Lepisosteus oculatus: one gene and its partner. The protein of the gene in region 1 purifies or fractionates together with the protein of each later gene. This does not show direct contact. Links are inferred from orthologs where the notes say so. Each region holds a gene or a part of one and is shown on either strand. Other genes may lie near its edges.

The links. The genes of interacting proteins can lie anywhere in the genome.
Region 2: the proteins of abi1a (region 1) and brk1 purify together in Homo sapiens (co-immunoprecipitation; 3 studies listed by BioGRID and IntAct, with this or other methods). This does not show direct contact. The link is inferred for Lepisosteus oculatus from reciprocal best matches to the Homo sapiens genes ABI1 and BRK1.

The regions. Positions count from the first base shown.
Region 1 is NC_090701.1:40,792,432-40,800,398, forward strand, and holds the start of abi1a (abl interactor 1a), read left to right. Parts: upstream 1-4,613; 5' UTR 4,614-4,758; coding exon 4,759-4,875; intron 4,876-7,967. Other genes in the region: acbd5a (acyl-CoA-binding domain-containing protein 5A), read right to left, coding at 3,304-3,390, 4,486-4,534. UniProt on the Homo sapiens protein: May act in negative regulation of cell growth and transformation by interacting with nonreceptor tyrosine kinases ABL1 and/or ABL2. May play a role in regulation of EGF-induced Erk pathway activation. Involved in cytoskeletal reorganization and EGFR signaling.
Region 2 is NC_090699.1:53,753,107-53,761,060, reverse strand, and holds the start of brk1 (probable protein BRICK1), read right to left. Parts: upstream 3,388-7,954; 5' UTR 3,353-3,387; coding exon 3,235-3,352; intron 1,784-3,234; coding exon 1,701-1,783; intron 933-1,700; coding exon 906-932; 3' UTR 1-905. UniProt on the Homo sapiens protein: Involved in regulation of actin and microtubule organization. Part of a WAVE complex that activates the Arp2/3 complex. As component of the WAVE1 complex, required for BDNF-NTRK2 endocytic trafficking and signaling from early endosomes.

The DNA of each region.
Region 1 (7,967 bases):
CTCCGGTTTCCTCTCACGGTCCAAAGACATGCCGGCAGGTTAACTGGCTTCTGGGGAAATAGGCCCTGGTGCAAGGGTGTGCGTATTTGTGCCTGCCCTGTGACGGACCAGTGTCCCATTCAGGGGGGCGGAACACCCCGCCTTGGGCCCGTCGCTCGCCAAGACGGGCTCCAGCTACCCCCGTGACCCTGAATTGTATAAAGCACTTACCAAATGGATGTATAGACTAAATCTTAAATTGATTTAGTCTGATTAAATTGATTTAGGCACAATAAATTATGACGAGGGGAAAGTATTTTCCTAACTTGTGTCCATCAGCTATGTAGATAATAATAATAATAATAATAATAATAATAATTGCTTACACTTATATAGCTCTTTTCTGGACACTCCACTCAAAGCGCTTTACAGGTAATGGGGTCTCCCCTCCACCACCACCAATGTGCAGCCCCAGTGCAGCCATAGTGCACCATGTTTCGCCACACACCAGCTCTCAGTGGGGAGGAGAGCAGAGTAATGAAGCCAATTCATAGATGGGGATTATTAGGAGGCCATGATTGGTGAGGGACAATGGGAAATTTGGCCAGGACTCCGGGGTTACAGGTGTCCCCTACTCTTTTCGAGAAGCGCCCTGGGATTTTTAATGACCACAGAGAGTCAGGACCTCGGTTTTACGTCTCATCCGAAGGACGGCGCCTGTTTACAGTATAGTGTCCCCGTCACTATACTGGGGCATTAGGACCCACACAACCACAGGGTGAGTGCCCCCTGCTGGCCCCACTAACACCTCTTCCAGCAGCAGCCTTAGTTTTTCCCAGGAGGTCTCCCATCCAGGTACTGACCAGGCTCAGGCCTGCTTAGCTTCAGTGGGTTGCCAGTTGTGAGTTGCAGGGTGATATGGCTGCTAATGATGTGTTTGGTAAGGGGTGTCAGTGGGGAAAAAATAAATCAGTAACAAATTCAGTAAATTCAATAGATCGTTTGGTTCAGTGAAGTCAGTAAAGGTCAACTGTGATCTCCGAGAGCTTCAGGATGTTTGGCATTTTCAGTTCAAATGATTACTTAACGGATAAAGTTTACCTGCTAATGGAAATGAAACAAAATTGTTCCAAGTGTTAAAAAGAGCAGGTTTTAAGGGCAACCCAGAAAACTCTGGTGGCTTGTCGCTCTGCAGAACTAGGTACTGAAAGACATCAGAATTCCCCAAAACTGCTTTATAAGCCCTGTAAAACATCACCATGGTCCTTAATGTGGAGTGCAAACATTTGAACTAGTATAACCTAAAGAAACCTGAATCAAGCCTAATAAGAGTAGAAACAAAACCTACATTTAAGCGTGCATTTTCTTAATATAAATTATGAACATTAAAGCACTATTCCACTAGATGTCTAGATATTTACAAAATGTGACCTGCTCCTCACATGATCTTTCCTGAAGCATTTTGCACAAGTTACTCAGGGAGAAGTTCAAAGAATCATTTATTACACAGCATACAGTTTTAGTAGTGCTGTTATTAGTTTTATTAGTATATTTGTTTTATTAATGCTTAGAAAAAGGTCAAGTTTATAGAAAGCCTACTGAATTCTGTGTAAACAAAACTGAAGATTAGTCATTAAAGATAAAGTGCATCCTGTGAAGTGTAAGATGGTCATCACATATAAGTAGATAAGAGACTTATCTTTTGACTGAGCAATACTGCTAACACACATGAAGAAGACCGTATGGACCAGTGATTGAAACCCGATGGACTTTTAAAGGGTGTGCAACAAACTATCTTATTATTAACAGAAGTAGTATATTCACTCTGTAGTTGTGTAAGTAATAGCAACATCATATGAGAGATTTTATAAACAACATGAATCCTAAATGCAACTTTTTGGAAGTATACAGTGATTCACCATATCAAACGCTGTAGATAAAACAATCGAGAAGGCTGCAGAAATGTGATTTTGATCCAACGTGATTATAATATCCTTGAGAACCTTTAAGATGGCAATCACACCCTGAAAGAAAACAGGCTGTGTATCTGCTAAAAGAAAACTGTCTAAAAAGAGCTGAACTGTTTGCGAGCAATTTTTCACATGTTCTTAGAAAGGCAGGGAAAAGTGAATACAGATCTACAGCAGTCAAGAGTCTGATTTAACAGCCTCTTCAAAACAGAGACAGAACAAGGGACTATTCTGAGTCTGTTAGGATTACAAGGAGTTGGAATAAATGAAACAGCAGAGTAGATATTAAATGAGTGTCTAATTTGATCAGAACTGGTTCAATACCCTTGTGATCAGAGGTCTTATCACTGTCAGTCTTCCAAGTTCAGTTTGTATTGACTCAGTAACTTGCTGCATAATAAAAATGAAGGGACTCTGGAACTTGACCACAACAGATTCAACCAAATCAGCCTTGTTGTTAAAAATTGACCTAGAAAACACGCAACCATATCAGTATAAATGAGATGTTCAGTGACTGAATTAAATGTGTTTTTCGTTGTCATAACAGTATTTTGGCAGTACCTAAATTGACTTATCCTTCATAATTTTAATTAACTTCCAAAGCTTTGTGTAAGAGGTCTAAGAATATATTATTGTAATGTTTTAGAGCTTTTACTAGCTTTTGTGGACTTTTGTCTAACTTGCAGGAAAGATAATAGTTATTTTCTGAAGAGGCCCTGGCATTGAACACTCTCGCACAGGGATAGGCCAGGGGCTCTCGCGATTTTGTTACTCAAATCAGCATCACGAGTGGTGAAATGTGATAATGTTGTTGATTATATTGCTAAAACAATCTTTGAAAAGATAACCAATCGTCTTCTACCGATGGGATGAAACACATGGTGTTCCAGTTCATTAAAACGAAATTGAATAGATATATATAAAACTGTATCCACCAAATTACCACGTTTACTGCATGGAACCCCAGCTAAAGCCAAGACAATGTTATCGAGCAGCAAAGACAGGGGCACTGCAATATAATATTTGGGAGAAAGATCCAATTTGAGTAGAAAGTTCCTCTGAACAGGTAGCTGCATCCACTGCCTTTCAAATGAAATGCTTACAAGACAGGAATGGGTCAACACAGTAACCTATTGTAATTTCAGCACCCAAACAAAGGACCCGTTACTACTTGTTTACAGTAAACTTCAGTTTACTTCATCTATAATGCCTTAAATGAAAGATAGATTTTCATTTCCGCAGACACACGGCTACCAACAAAAACTAACACGAAGTCCTGCTGGATCAAGGTGCTATTATCCAGAAGTAATTTGCAGGTAGTCTCGTGTAATAAAGCAGAAATCGAAGCACTTACCATTTTGCGGTAAACTCTGAATTACTTTCACTGCAGCATCAAATCGTTGCTCGTGGATTGGTTTTTCATCCGCCATTATGACAGAGGCTGCAAAAGAGTCAGCGACAAATCTTTAAACCTGGGGATTACAAATATGAACTGGAGCAGCTCACCAGCTGCATATAAGATTAAAGTGTACTTTTGAGTACCGACAGTCTTCAGAAAAGAACGACGTATTTGTTAAACGGTTTTATAACTAAATTGAATAATTACATGGTTAGTTACTGCACTGATCAACTCAACATTTCAAAGTTTCATTGAGCTTTTAAAAAGGAGAATTAAATATTAATCACTCGGCACACAGACGTAAACAGTATTTGCCGAACAGGTCATTCCTCTCGTGACATAGGGCTAAATTGTTACAAGAGTTCAAAATTACAAAGAACAAATTTGCACAGACTTAGCTACGTCCACACCTCAAAATTCGTATACCTGTCATACCCTTGTATATTAAATAGTTAAAATACTAGATAAACATGATGTACCTACTGTAAATACGTTGACTTCTCAAATACGTCTCTAAATAGGAACCAACACAAATCTGACATTAGCGCTACGTCCAGGGGATTTGTAGTTTTTTAAGGCCACGGGCGAGTGTACCAGAAAACAGAGTTCAGTCAAATTGACTACAAAAACCACAATGCAGTATTAAATATAGTGTTTTGTGGGAATTGTAGTAATATAGAGGATATTTTAATAAATTAACAGCCTTAATAAAGTATCAAGTCTCAATCTATGCATAATATTTTTACAGAATTGCGTGTGACAGGATTTAAGATTTCTGGAAATGTATTAATTTTCTTACATGCGTCTAAAGAACAATGTATATTTTTTCACGATATTTAGACAAGCATAAAATATCCATCATTTTAAATGCCTGATGAATGTATCAAAATAATTAAAATCAAGCTTAGTTCTAAGAATACACTCTTAGATTACGTATAGCATACATACATATACGAGTCACATCTTTTTCACCGACGTTCAGCGGATAGGAAGAACAGTTCAAATAGTTAAAGACAATTATCACGTTAAAGCAGGGGTGGCGGAAAAGAGAGAATATCTTCTGTCATCTACGCAAAGCGTAAAAGTTAACCGTCTATATCAGCAATGGCTTTCCAGTCTCTCTCAACGTATACATACACGCGCGAAATGTGTCTTTTCCCACACTTGATAGCGACAGTGTCATCATCGAGGTTTCGCTTCAAGACTACAGGTCCCAGCGTGCACCTCTGCGGGTTCCTGCGTCTCCCTGCTGCGGCGGTGCTCGTGTGCGCGAGCCCGGCTGGTGAAAGGTCGCGGTGGCGAAAGCGAGGCCAGGAATCCCACAATACCAGGCGGAGGAGCAGCTTTCTGGGGCAGAGCTTGTGGGTTCGATCAAAGGGAAGGAGAAGAAGAAATGCAGAGAGATGTAAGATGGCAGAGCTGCAGATGTTGTTAGAGGAAGAAATTCCAGCCGGCAAAAGAGCTCTGGTGGAGAGCTACCAGAACCTCACCAGGGTCGCTGATTACTGTGAAAACAATTATGTTCAGGTAAGAAAGGGAAAAAAAAAGAAAGCGATGTAATTCCGAGATGCGAAGTGGATGCCTCGGCTTTTTTTTCTTTCCCCGTGGAAGTGTGGGGAGCCGGAGACAGGAAATGTGAATGTTGCAGCGAAACTCGAAGGGATTAAAACGGGGTTTCAAAATCTTTTCGAAAATACCCCCCCGATGTGGCCCGTCTTTAAAGTTGTCTGCGTTTTTACCGACAGCGGCTCGTCCCTTATCGGCAGGGAAACGGCAGATCTTGTTCCCATTCATTTCCACCGTTTCGCGATCAGTCTGGTTCGCTAGTCCGGAGGGTGTGTCTTTTCCTTATCTTGTTATATTTCGACTGGAGGCTCTTGATTTAAATCCAGGAATGGCTCATTCGCCGACGGGGAAACGCATGTAGAGTTTAAATACGTGTAACGTTTTGGATCTCGTTTGAGAAACTTTTATTTGAGGGAATGGAGGGGCTCACGCGGTCTTCCGTTTTCGATTCTTTTCTGCACTAGTAGCCCGCATTTATCCAGTAAGTAATGCACACAAACTTGAGACGTGAAGTGTAAGATGTTTTTTTTTGTCCAGCTATCCGTAGTTATGTATGGAAAAGAGAACCGCTCTTTTCTGATTAGCGTGACTGTTTACTGTTCAATAGGCTGCTGTGTACAGCCGATCTTCTGGTTTAATACCTTTAGTGCATTAATGTGATGTAAACGCACCCCACGCTGCCAGGTACATTAGGTAATGCTGGTAATCTCCTCCTAAATTGCACCTTATTTGCCGACTCTTGCCCAATCGTTTTTAACACCACGGCGCCGCCGCTTCCTAGTAGCTGAAATTTGCCAATTTATTTTTCAACGTGAAGACTAACGGCGTGACCGCCACACAGGCGTATACAGTATGCGACGAAATCGGACTTCAAAAACTGAAGATTGACGTCTTGTGTATTCCTACGCCCAAATTGTGGTTTGGCATCTCTGGCGAGATGTCTTGGTTCAATAGTGTTATCATTGGGGGGGAAACGAAATGTAAGGTGTTAGTTAGCACGCGTTTTGCCGTTGGGTGTTTGAGGTGCTCCGGTTTTCATCGTCTTGAAGAGTAAACTGCCGATATAGTTCGCCATCAGTTGCGGGAGAACATGCCTTCATATGTGCCAGTGTCAACATGTAACCTGGAAGTAGCCGTGCTCCGTCACTGCTGGGGAAACTTGTGTTTCCAGGACGTGGCTGGCGGACGGCAGCTGCTTGTCCTGCATTCTTGAAATGGTTGAATCTGGCCGCTTGCTGGACGTGCTTTCCTTTCTGTAGCTTCATCAAACAGTTGAAGGTTTATTTCTTGCGTGCTGATAGTTGTCTAAACACGTTCACCTCGAAATATTTAAAGCAACCCTGATCTTAGGTAATGTATGTCGATACTGTATGACTGCTTAAAGCTTGCAAGGGGTATAGTATGAACTTATTCAAAACAGATTTCACAGGTGCACGTCAAAATGTATTCTTCAGTGATTACAGGAGTACTTACGAAATTGAACAACTCATTGGTCCCCTTTATGCACTATACCCGCAGAATATTAGATTTTGCACTGTGAGCCCAGTGTTTTGAGTGATTCTATACGTTTTATGATGGAAACATCTCACTTTGCCTTTTAATGACTGATTTTGATAGACTACCTCCCAGCTATTTTATTGAGAAAATATGAATACGTTAAATAAAGCCTTTAGTTTTAAGCAAAGCCCGTGTTGCCCTTTAACACACTGTGTTACTACTTCACATTAGCTGTTTGTTGTTAGTCGTCTGTGTGCAGTGTGAAAAGTGTCTGGGGGAGAGATTTTCTTAAAGTAACTGAAACCCTCATTTAGTGTCTGATTTTGGCTCCATTTTTTTCTGGTCTGATTTTCAAGGCTTCTGGTCAGTGGATTATAGTCAGCTGGCAGCCTAGCCTTAAATGCAGGTTCTTAAAATACCATTTTGAGGAAAATAAAAAACAGAAGTAGGTTAGGTTTGTGGTTAAACACTCTTTCATAGTCGGGGCAGTACAATAGATAGATGTCATTATGGATATGGCCAGGATGTTTGATCGCATGAACTGCAAAAGTGTTTTGTGGGTTTGATAGCTTACAAGCCTTTAAGGTGTGTCTGTCACAAGGCCAAAGGCCACTTCAGAGAAATATTTGACTTCCTGCTATTGACTAACTCTTGAATGGATTTGGGATTAATTTGTTCAGCACCAGACTTTTCCTTTTCTCCTTTGTGGGCCCATTTAAATGAAAATTTGCTTCTTTGAACTAAGGTGACGAGCGATGCAGCGACATCTTTATCCAGCGTCTGTCAGGGAAGCACGCGCATGTTCTCCAAATGAAAGGATTGATAATGGTCAAGGGTTTTCCTGTGCAGTTTAAAACGCAAGACACCTGATCTGTTCTATTGACATTCCAACTTTGCCTCTGCCATCAATAGGCCCTTTGTGCCCGCGAGATTACAGACAAGACAGTCCAAGATTTTCGACTGTTTTGTTTTAGCGAGGAAAGGCAAGTGTTGCCACATACAGCCGAATACCTAGATGGGCAGAATTAGTAAGGAAATGCAATGAGAAGGTTTTGGAGGCTTAATAACGCACCGTTTGGCAGGCATGCTGTTTTTGTTTGTGAAAACTCCGTAGATGTGACTAATTGGTGTAGCTGTTTGTGGGGTTTTCGAGGTAGTGTTTCTGAACTCTTAACCACAAGTCCAAGGCGTGGCTGTGTTCTGTCGAGAACTGCCTAAGTGAACAGTCCTCGCTGAGCAAGTGGCTCACCGTGTTTCCCACCCACTGATACGTACTGCCGAGTGTGATCTCTAGATCATCTGTACTAGCAATGCAGATTTTTCTCTCTTTAAAAAAAAAAGGCTTTATTTTTTCAGCCAAGCCCGAACCTGCGGTGAAGCTTGAGATGCGCTGCCTTTTTTTTTAAAGCGGTAGAAATGTTTCTTTTGAAGTAGCGGGAGGCTGTCGAACCCGAAAGAGCCTTAATGTAGCGGACGGCTGAAAGGCAGCAAGGTGATCATCGCTCAGCCAGTTGTGCGACTTCTCCTCCTCCCCCACCCCCCCTCGAGGCCGAGCG
Region 2 (7,954 bases), on another chromosome or scaffold:
TAAAAAAAAGAGCTTAGAAAAAAAAATAAGAGATACAGTAGCAGAGGTCTGCAGAGCTGGTCCTGGAGAGCCAAGGTGTCCTCTGGTTTTCATTACAGCTGACGTCATTAGGAAAAGCTAAACTTTTTTTTAAGGATCTCTGGTCATGCACCAATTAAGGTATGTATGTATGTAATGTATAGTACGAGCGCTGTTGGAAGGGGACATTCCAGGATCAGGGATGCAGACCCCTGCAGTACAGTGTCCACAATAAGAGAATTAACTTGGCACTCTGGGACTTCTCTTCATTTCCTGCACTGTGCCCATGATAGAAGGGTTATGACTGGTTGTCTCTGCTACACGAGCACCCTCTATGCATTCTGCAAGCACCACCTCCCTGTCTGCTTTAGTAAAAGAGGGATTAGGGGGTGAGGATTTCTAAAAGAAGGGGTGAGGTTTAAAGGTTCAAAGGACAGTTGGATTTTCAGTGACATTTTTTTTTAGTTACTGCTTCACTCATTCACAAGCACAAGGTACACTTCATGCTGCTTATAGTAGTTAACTCCTCATTCCTGCGGGCTACTGCGAGTTGTCTCCACGTTTACATTACCTGCTAAAATTATTATGCGGTGTTCTGTGCAGTTCTAAACACTGTCCTCAAATGCCACCATCATTTTGAGGAGAGTGCCAAAAGTAAGCAACAGGTCTTGGGACTTAAAAGATATCCAGAGGGATTAAGAGAAAAGGAAAGCCACGCACACATCTCATTTGGGAAGGTCTTTTAGTTGTCCCGTGCAAACACAAATGTGTCTAAAGTATGCAAGCATATTTTAAAAAATGTTATAAAATGGAAGAAGGTGATGTTTGGGTGCCATTGTTATACAGAGCTACTCCAGGCTCTTCTGAATCCTGTGTCCCCGTGCGGCCTAAGTCAATGTCTCCCCCTTTGTAACCTATACAGAAAGAAGAATAATGAGTTTAATATTAATGACATTCATCCTTCACTGGAAAGCACTTAGCATCCAGAAAAAAATGACATAATTATTTGGCTTTTGATGTTGTTAAAATATAGCTGATCTTAAAAAAACCTTTAATGTGCTATTAGCTTTGTCACTTTAACGACCAGAGACTAGTATTTATAAGCAAAGATACAGCTCTCAGTTATCACCTGTCTCATGGAAATTATGCATTTGGATATCTGCAATGAGACCAGGACATGAGCAGAAATCTGCCCTGCGGCTGTCTGCAGAGGAATTGCATTTTCAGTACAGAATCAAAACAGCAAATAAAGGCCATGAGGTACTGTATGAGTCAAAGGCAATACACTGAGTAGGTGTTACTGCAACACACTCTACCAGAATGAATCTGGAGATTGCAACATTAAAATATTGACTTTATGGTGAAGTTTTCTGACCCACCTACCCTCTTTTTGTAACAATGACTGTGCAGGGAAATGAAACACAAAAAAAAAACAAGTAATTTTCAATTCTCAAGGCAACTATCCCACATTCCCAATGACTGTGTGTACAATGAACACTCCTCCTACTAAACAATTCCCGTTCAATGGCGAGTCATCAGTTAATTGTGACTGGAACTTCGAGAACAAATACATTTGTCATTTTTTCCCCCCCTAGAAGGATGAAATGAAGCACAGGGAAATCCAGAATGCTAGTATTTAAATATTGAAGTATCAGTGCCCCACAACAGATCCTACTACTTACCCTAGCCTCAATGTATTCAATTCTCCTCTCCAGCGCCGTCAGCTTCTCATTCAGAGTTGCCAATCGGGACCGACAGGACATATCTATACATGAGAAACCTGCTGTTGAGTACTGCTGTAACACAACTGTGCAGCAGACAATCCTGCAGCTGTTGGGTCCAATCAGTTTAGCCCAAGCTGTCAGTGTGATGAGTGCAGGTCTCCCTACCGAGATTCAATCCGATCACTTGCAGGCTCCCAACATGCACTGTCTCCCTAGACAGCAGATATCCTCTCCTTGACAAAAGACCAGGTCTTTTGAGTTTTATAACTATCATACCAGAACCTATATCAAACAAGCCACTGCAGTTGACACTTTTAGTAACCTGAAAAAAAATACAAAATACTGAAGCATCTCCGATAGTTAGGAACACTGCTAAGTACTACATTGTTATACAACCCTAAAACCCTGTGACACAAAAGAGACTTTTTCAGCTGCCCCCTGGTTAACAGGTTCTCTTGAATTCAACATCACATTCCATGACAAGCTTTCCCTAGGGCAGAGAAGATGCTAAAAAACTGAAGATCCTCAGCACTAGGCAGTAGCCTATGTACTTGTTTCTGGGCTGCTAATAATAAAATAACGTGTTCACGTGTTCCTTCTTCAAGCAGGAGCTCCCCAGTCCCCAACACCTGCTAGTTTATTAATTGATCTAATAACCGGATTGATTTGAAACCTCCAATTATTTCCAGGTCCTAAACATGTTGGAGATCGCCTTCTGACTTCTGCAATTCATAAGTCCATCATTTGAGTGGAACAAAATTGCAAATGCTCCAATCAAGCACAGTGTTGGCTCAATTAAGTGTTCAATTAGGGAAAATGTTAGGTTAGGTGCGTTACACCCAAAGAATAAGGTTGGATACCCCCTGCTTTAAGCAATATGATAACAAATTTACATGTACATCATGGGGCAACATCAGGGAAACATCAAAACTGCAGCAACATCTATAGTGCACTGGGGCTGTCCAGAGGCGGAAGCTGTAAAATGGCCTCAGGTCTGAATTCGTGTCCTAATGTGCCTGTTCCTATAGAGTAATTTAACCTCTTTCAAATAACGTGGCTGAGCAAAGATAATTACATTCATAACCCCATCCGGACCACCCAGTAACGGAATGCTAAACGTTGACAAGATTTCTGTTTAAAAAAAAATCCTACGGAATGGGTTTAAAGAGCTATCTGGTACAAATAAAAATACAAATCACCCAGATTTATGGGTGTATGCTTTAACTAAATACAACTGCCCTATCCCTTGAGGATGTTGACCGAACATACTCTTAAACGTTACGTCGCTCAAAGCCCACCGAATTAAAAGACTGACAGTTTCAGCTAAGATATGTATTATAAATTGCAACAGTGTGGTTTATGTCATACAGTACTTAAATACAACAGAAAACCCGATGCATTTTAAGAATGAGACGGCAGCAGGGCAAGGCCTAGTTTTCTGTATTAAACATCTCTGACCCTTCATATTCGCCTTCAGTTCAAAATCTCTTACCGAACGAGTTGAGGAAATCTGCGATTTTCTTAATGCTGCTGGTAATAACTTCTATATATTCTCGATTTGCCCAGTCTTGGTGAATCTCTCTCTGGACGGGATCTTCCTGGCCGGCCATTTTCCCGCAGATCTGGACTGAGACAGAGCGCCGCCTACCTGCTGTTCCCCCGCCGAGACTGTACCACATTTCAACAGGAGAGGGCGCTATTAATACACAAGTCGCAGCTACGCTCAGAAGTGTTCGGGCTGATCGAAGTGTTGTGAAATAAAGCTTCCGTCCGTCGCCATCGTTTGTCTCGAAATGTGATTTGTAATATTAATTTTCGTCATTTTCCTTACTGTTTTTTTTTGTTTAATGTTGAAAAGGGAAACCCTGCAACGCAAGAAAGGTGACAAACAAGATGAGGCAATTCGGTATACCTAACTGGCTTAATTGCTATGTAGCTGAGTGATCAGATGATATCATGCAGCTGTCTCTAGACAGAAACCATTGTATCGGTGTCAGCATGTTAATAGGTATCTTGTTCCATGTTCTCAAACATATTTCTGTATGTTCTGTAAATATGCGTCTTCTGTTCTTGGTTTGGTTAGATGCTCTTCTATATAATTTATGCTTGAGTGGGCTATAAAAATATACGTACGAAATGTAAGGACGTACAGCGTGTTTCACACCGAAGATGGTTATTTAAAAGACCGTGAAAAAATGGAAGTTAGTATTTATATAGGACAAGATATGTCTTAAAGCGTCTAACGCCTTTCACTACTTCTATGAAAGAACCGCCGTACTTTGCTTAGTCCAATCCTCTTCTTACTCCCGAAACAATAGTTATTAATACTGCATAAGTCTCGATATATACAGTTACTCCAGGAATCGGTTTTTAAACCCATTTGAAGGTAAAGACAACGTGAATATCCAACTTTATTTTTACCTACTTGAACTATAGCTTTATTTTTGCCGAGTCATCATGAAAAAGGCTAATTATTTTCTACTGGCATCGCAGATTGTTTTCCAAGTTAAATTCGCCTACATACCCCTATTTACATACTATCACACTTTATCACCCAATAAAGATTATTTTGTGTTGTCCCTTTTATTAACTCTGGTGCAATTAAAACTGAGATTGCCGACACTGAAATAAGCGATTTCTAACCTATCTCGTTTCCTTACACAATATCTATTTCCTCCTGTTACAATAGGAGGCCTTGGTCCGTTTGTACACCACCCTGCTAACATCGGTTATTTCAAACCTTACATACAAAAGAGATAAAGCTATCGTTTCCTTTCACAGCGTTATCTGATATAGGAACATACTTTGTGCTTTTTTGTCGTTTTATACATTGATTAAAATATCGAAAACATTTTCCTTTTGCAGGAGTTCTTGGGCACTTTGGGGTTATTTCTCAACACAAATATTCCATTTAGCCCCACGCATAAATATTACGCATAGACGCAGAAGCCGCCTAGTGTTCTGTTTTGTTCATATAAGGGTTTCTGTAATTTGCATTTTGGAAAACTTCCTCAAAAAATTATTAACATTTGAAGGCCAGCCCCTTAACACCTCCCCTTTCCTTGCGCACCACCTGGAACCAGCGTCTCCAGGCTCGGGTACAAAAGGGACCTGACAGCGGGAAAGCAGGACAGTCTTTGGGTTTCAAGATGGCTGGAGGGATGAAGAAGTTTTACGATTTCTCGATGAATCTCCTGTCCACGGGAGAAGCGTATAACTTCTCCACGCTGAAGGGCAAGGTCGTGCTGATCGAGAACGTGGCGTCTCTCTGAGGCACGACCACCAGGGATTACACCCAGATGAACCAGCTCCAGCAGCGCTACGGCGCCCAGGGGCTGGTGGTACTGGGGGTGCCCTGTAACCAGTTCGGATATCAGGTAGGGAGGTTACTCCTTCTGACCGCAGGAGCAATTTCCTTTAGCTTGAAGTACCTTAGTGGCTCTCTAGTTTCATAGGAAGTTAGAAAAACGGTAACTTTGTGACGTTTCCGTTATCTGGTGAAGGCAAGGCTTCACCTGAGTTCACAAGGAAATGGAAATCTCATAATTTCGATGGTACTTTTTATTGCTTAATGTTCAGGTTTTTTTTTGCGAGCTGTTTGCACATGAGCCGCTGAAATAATCTTGTTTATCTTTTGGGCTATCGGTTAAAAGGAAACGGTAATCGTTCGGTTTTTCAAGTGTGTATTCTTAATTGATTGAAGTGAAATATTAGCTTTGAAGTAACCTAAATGATTAAACTTCAGTTCTTTTTTTGTTGTGTGGTAATCGGGCGTTGTAAGCCCCATTTTTTTTATATATTAGACCAATTGTGATAATGTTGCAGGAGGACTGAGTTGTCGCGTTGAACAAATTGTTTTTGGGAGGCTAGGATTTACAGGACCCATTTACCAACATACTGGGAGAAAATGTCCCAGTGAAATAATGATAATAATTATGATGGTAAAACAAAGTTCATTCGGTTTTTCAGGGATAATCAACCTTAACACTTTTTTAGTTCAACGCCATTAAATACATTTTAAACATTACAATAAATTACTGAATTGATTCCTAACTGATGGCAAGTTTAAAAATGAAAAATTATCTGGAGAAAATGGAGGTGCTATAACTGCTCTGGCTGTTTTTGTACTCGGCTATTATACTCTAATCCTGTAGTGCTTCAATTGACTATAAAAGGGTTATTAGATATATTTCAGACATTCAGTTGAGCCATTTATAACCAATTATGTTCCTACAATTCCACAGGAGAATTGTAAGAACGAAGAGATTCTCAATTCCTTGAAGTATGTCCGTCCAGGCAATGGGTTTGTGCCGGATTTCCTTCTGACGCAGAAGGTGGATGTGAATGGGAAGGATGCCCACCCCCTGTTCACATTCCTTAAGGAGCAGTTGCCTTACCCCAGTGATGACAACCTGTCCCTCATGACCGACCCCAAGTACATCATCTGGAGCCCGGTCTGCAGGAATGACATCTCGTGGAACTTCGAGAAGTTCCTCATTGGCCCTGATGGCAAGCCGTTCAAGCGCTACAGCAGACGATTTCTCACCAGCGACATCGAGGAAGACGTCAAAAAGCTGCTGAGCTTGGCCAAGTAGACAGGCCCTTTCTTTAGAGAAGCATTAGTGTGGCTAGAGATAAGCCTGAAGTAACATGAGCGCCATGAAAGATAGTAATGATTCTGCTTCATCTGTTAATCTGCAGTCTGCACATTTTCAGAAATAGTGGGTTTCTTCTTTGCTTCACACAACTGTCGCTGTGTATCTCTTAACACCAAATTGGCGAGACTGTTATTTCTTGCCTGCTTTTGCCTCTGCGAGAAAAGCATGTGGGTGTCTCCCAACTCTGTTTATGCTCTCTAGAGCAAGGTGCTGCTGTGTTTAGTCTCTTTACTGAATGAAGGTGCCCTTTGAAACATGTGCAGAGAAGGGTGTCTGATGTAAATGTAAAAGCCTTAACCTAACAGTAGCATTTGGCCCTCGTAAAGCATAGCTGAGTTACTGGGATTTTGTGTATTGTGGAAAAATAAATTTTCTTTACAAAGAATGTGATTGTAAACTTTGGTTTATTTACTATCCCCCTTCCACTCAGTATCCTTGAACAATTAAAATTTATTATAGAAGGGCTTCAATTGGGACTTTTACCAGAAGTTTTTTTTTTAAATACTGAGCTCATTCCATCGCCTGTTTGCTCCATTTCATTTTTATGCTTTTTTGATTACTGATTACTTTCTATTTGGCATCTTTCATTTGCCTACCCTTTTATTTATCTTTCACCCTGATTCACCCATAGCTCAGAGCAGTTTTCAAGGTCATATGATGAATGCTTCAGTTTGCAATAACCGAGTCATGCTGACGGAGGGGGAAAAAAGTAAAGCCATTTACATTTTCCTCCATCACTCAAACACTATTTTGTTTATTCTTTCTCATTACATTAATAGTTACAGAAGTTGTGATTCACGTCTTGTTCAAGTTTTTAGTCAAGCTTCAGTTGCAAGGCCTTTTTTATCTAGATCTGTACCTTTTACTGTAAATAATCCCAATAGATATTAAGAAGATTGGGGGGTAACTTGCATAAAGTGACTAATAGTATTGAGGTGTAATTATTTCATTTATGGCCTAACAAGGAATAAAAATACTCCAGATATTTTTTTTTTAACATGTAAAGCCTGTGAAATACCTCTACTTCCGTTATTCCAATTGTATACTATTTGAATACTTTCAATTTCCAGTATAAAAATGTAAATGTTAAACATGCATTCACTGTAGTGAAAAGATATTTGATTTGTTAAGCCGGGTTAGTTTTGCTTGTAGCACACTTCCTCTTAAAGTTGTGCAAGATGTTAATTTTTTAAACTATAATTCCTCAATGTGTTGCATCAGAAGAGAAAACCCTCTCGTGTTAAGTTTTATTGGGATGAAAAAAAACATGTGGTTTCCGGAGTTCTATAAATCAGCCAGATTTCTGAAAGTGTGAGATAGTCTTCCTCCCAGTTATTTAAACCATGAACTAAGAAAACATCAAATCTGACAAATTCTAAACAGGTATTTTGGAACTGAAGTGTGTAGTTTCTTAGAATTAAAATGTTGCTATAATGATTACTTTCTATTTGGCATCTTTCATTTGCCTACCCTTTTATTTGGAATCTTTCACCCTGATTCACCCATAGCTCAGAGCAGTTTTCAAGGTCATATGATGAATGCTTCAGATTGCAA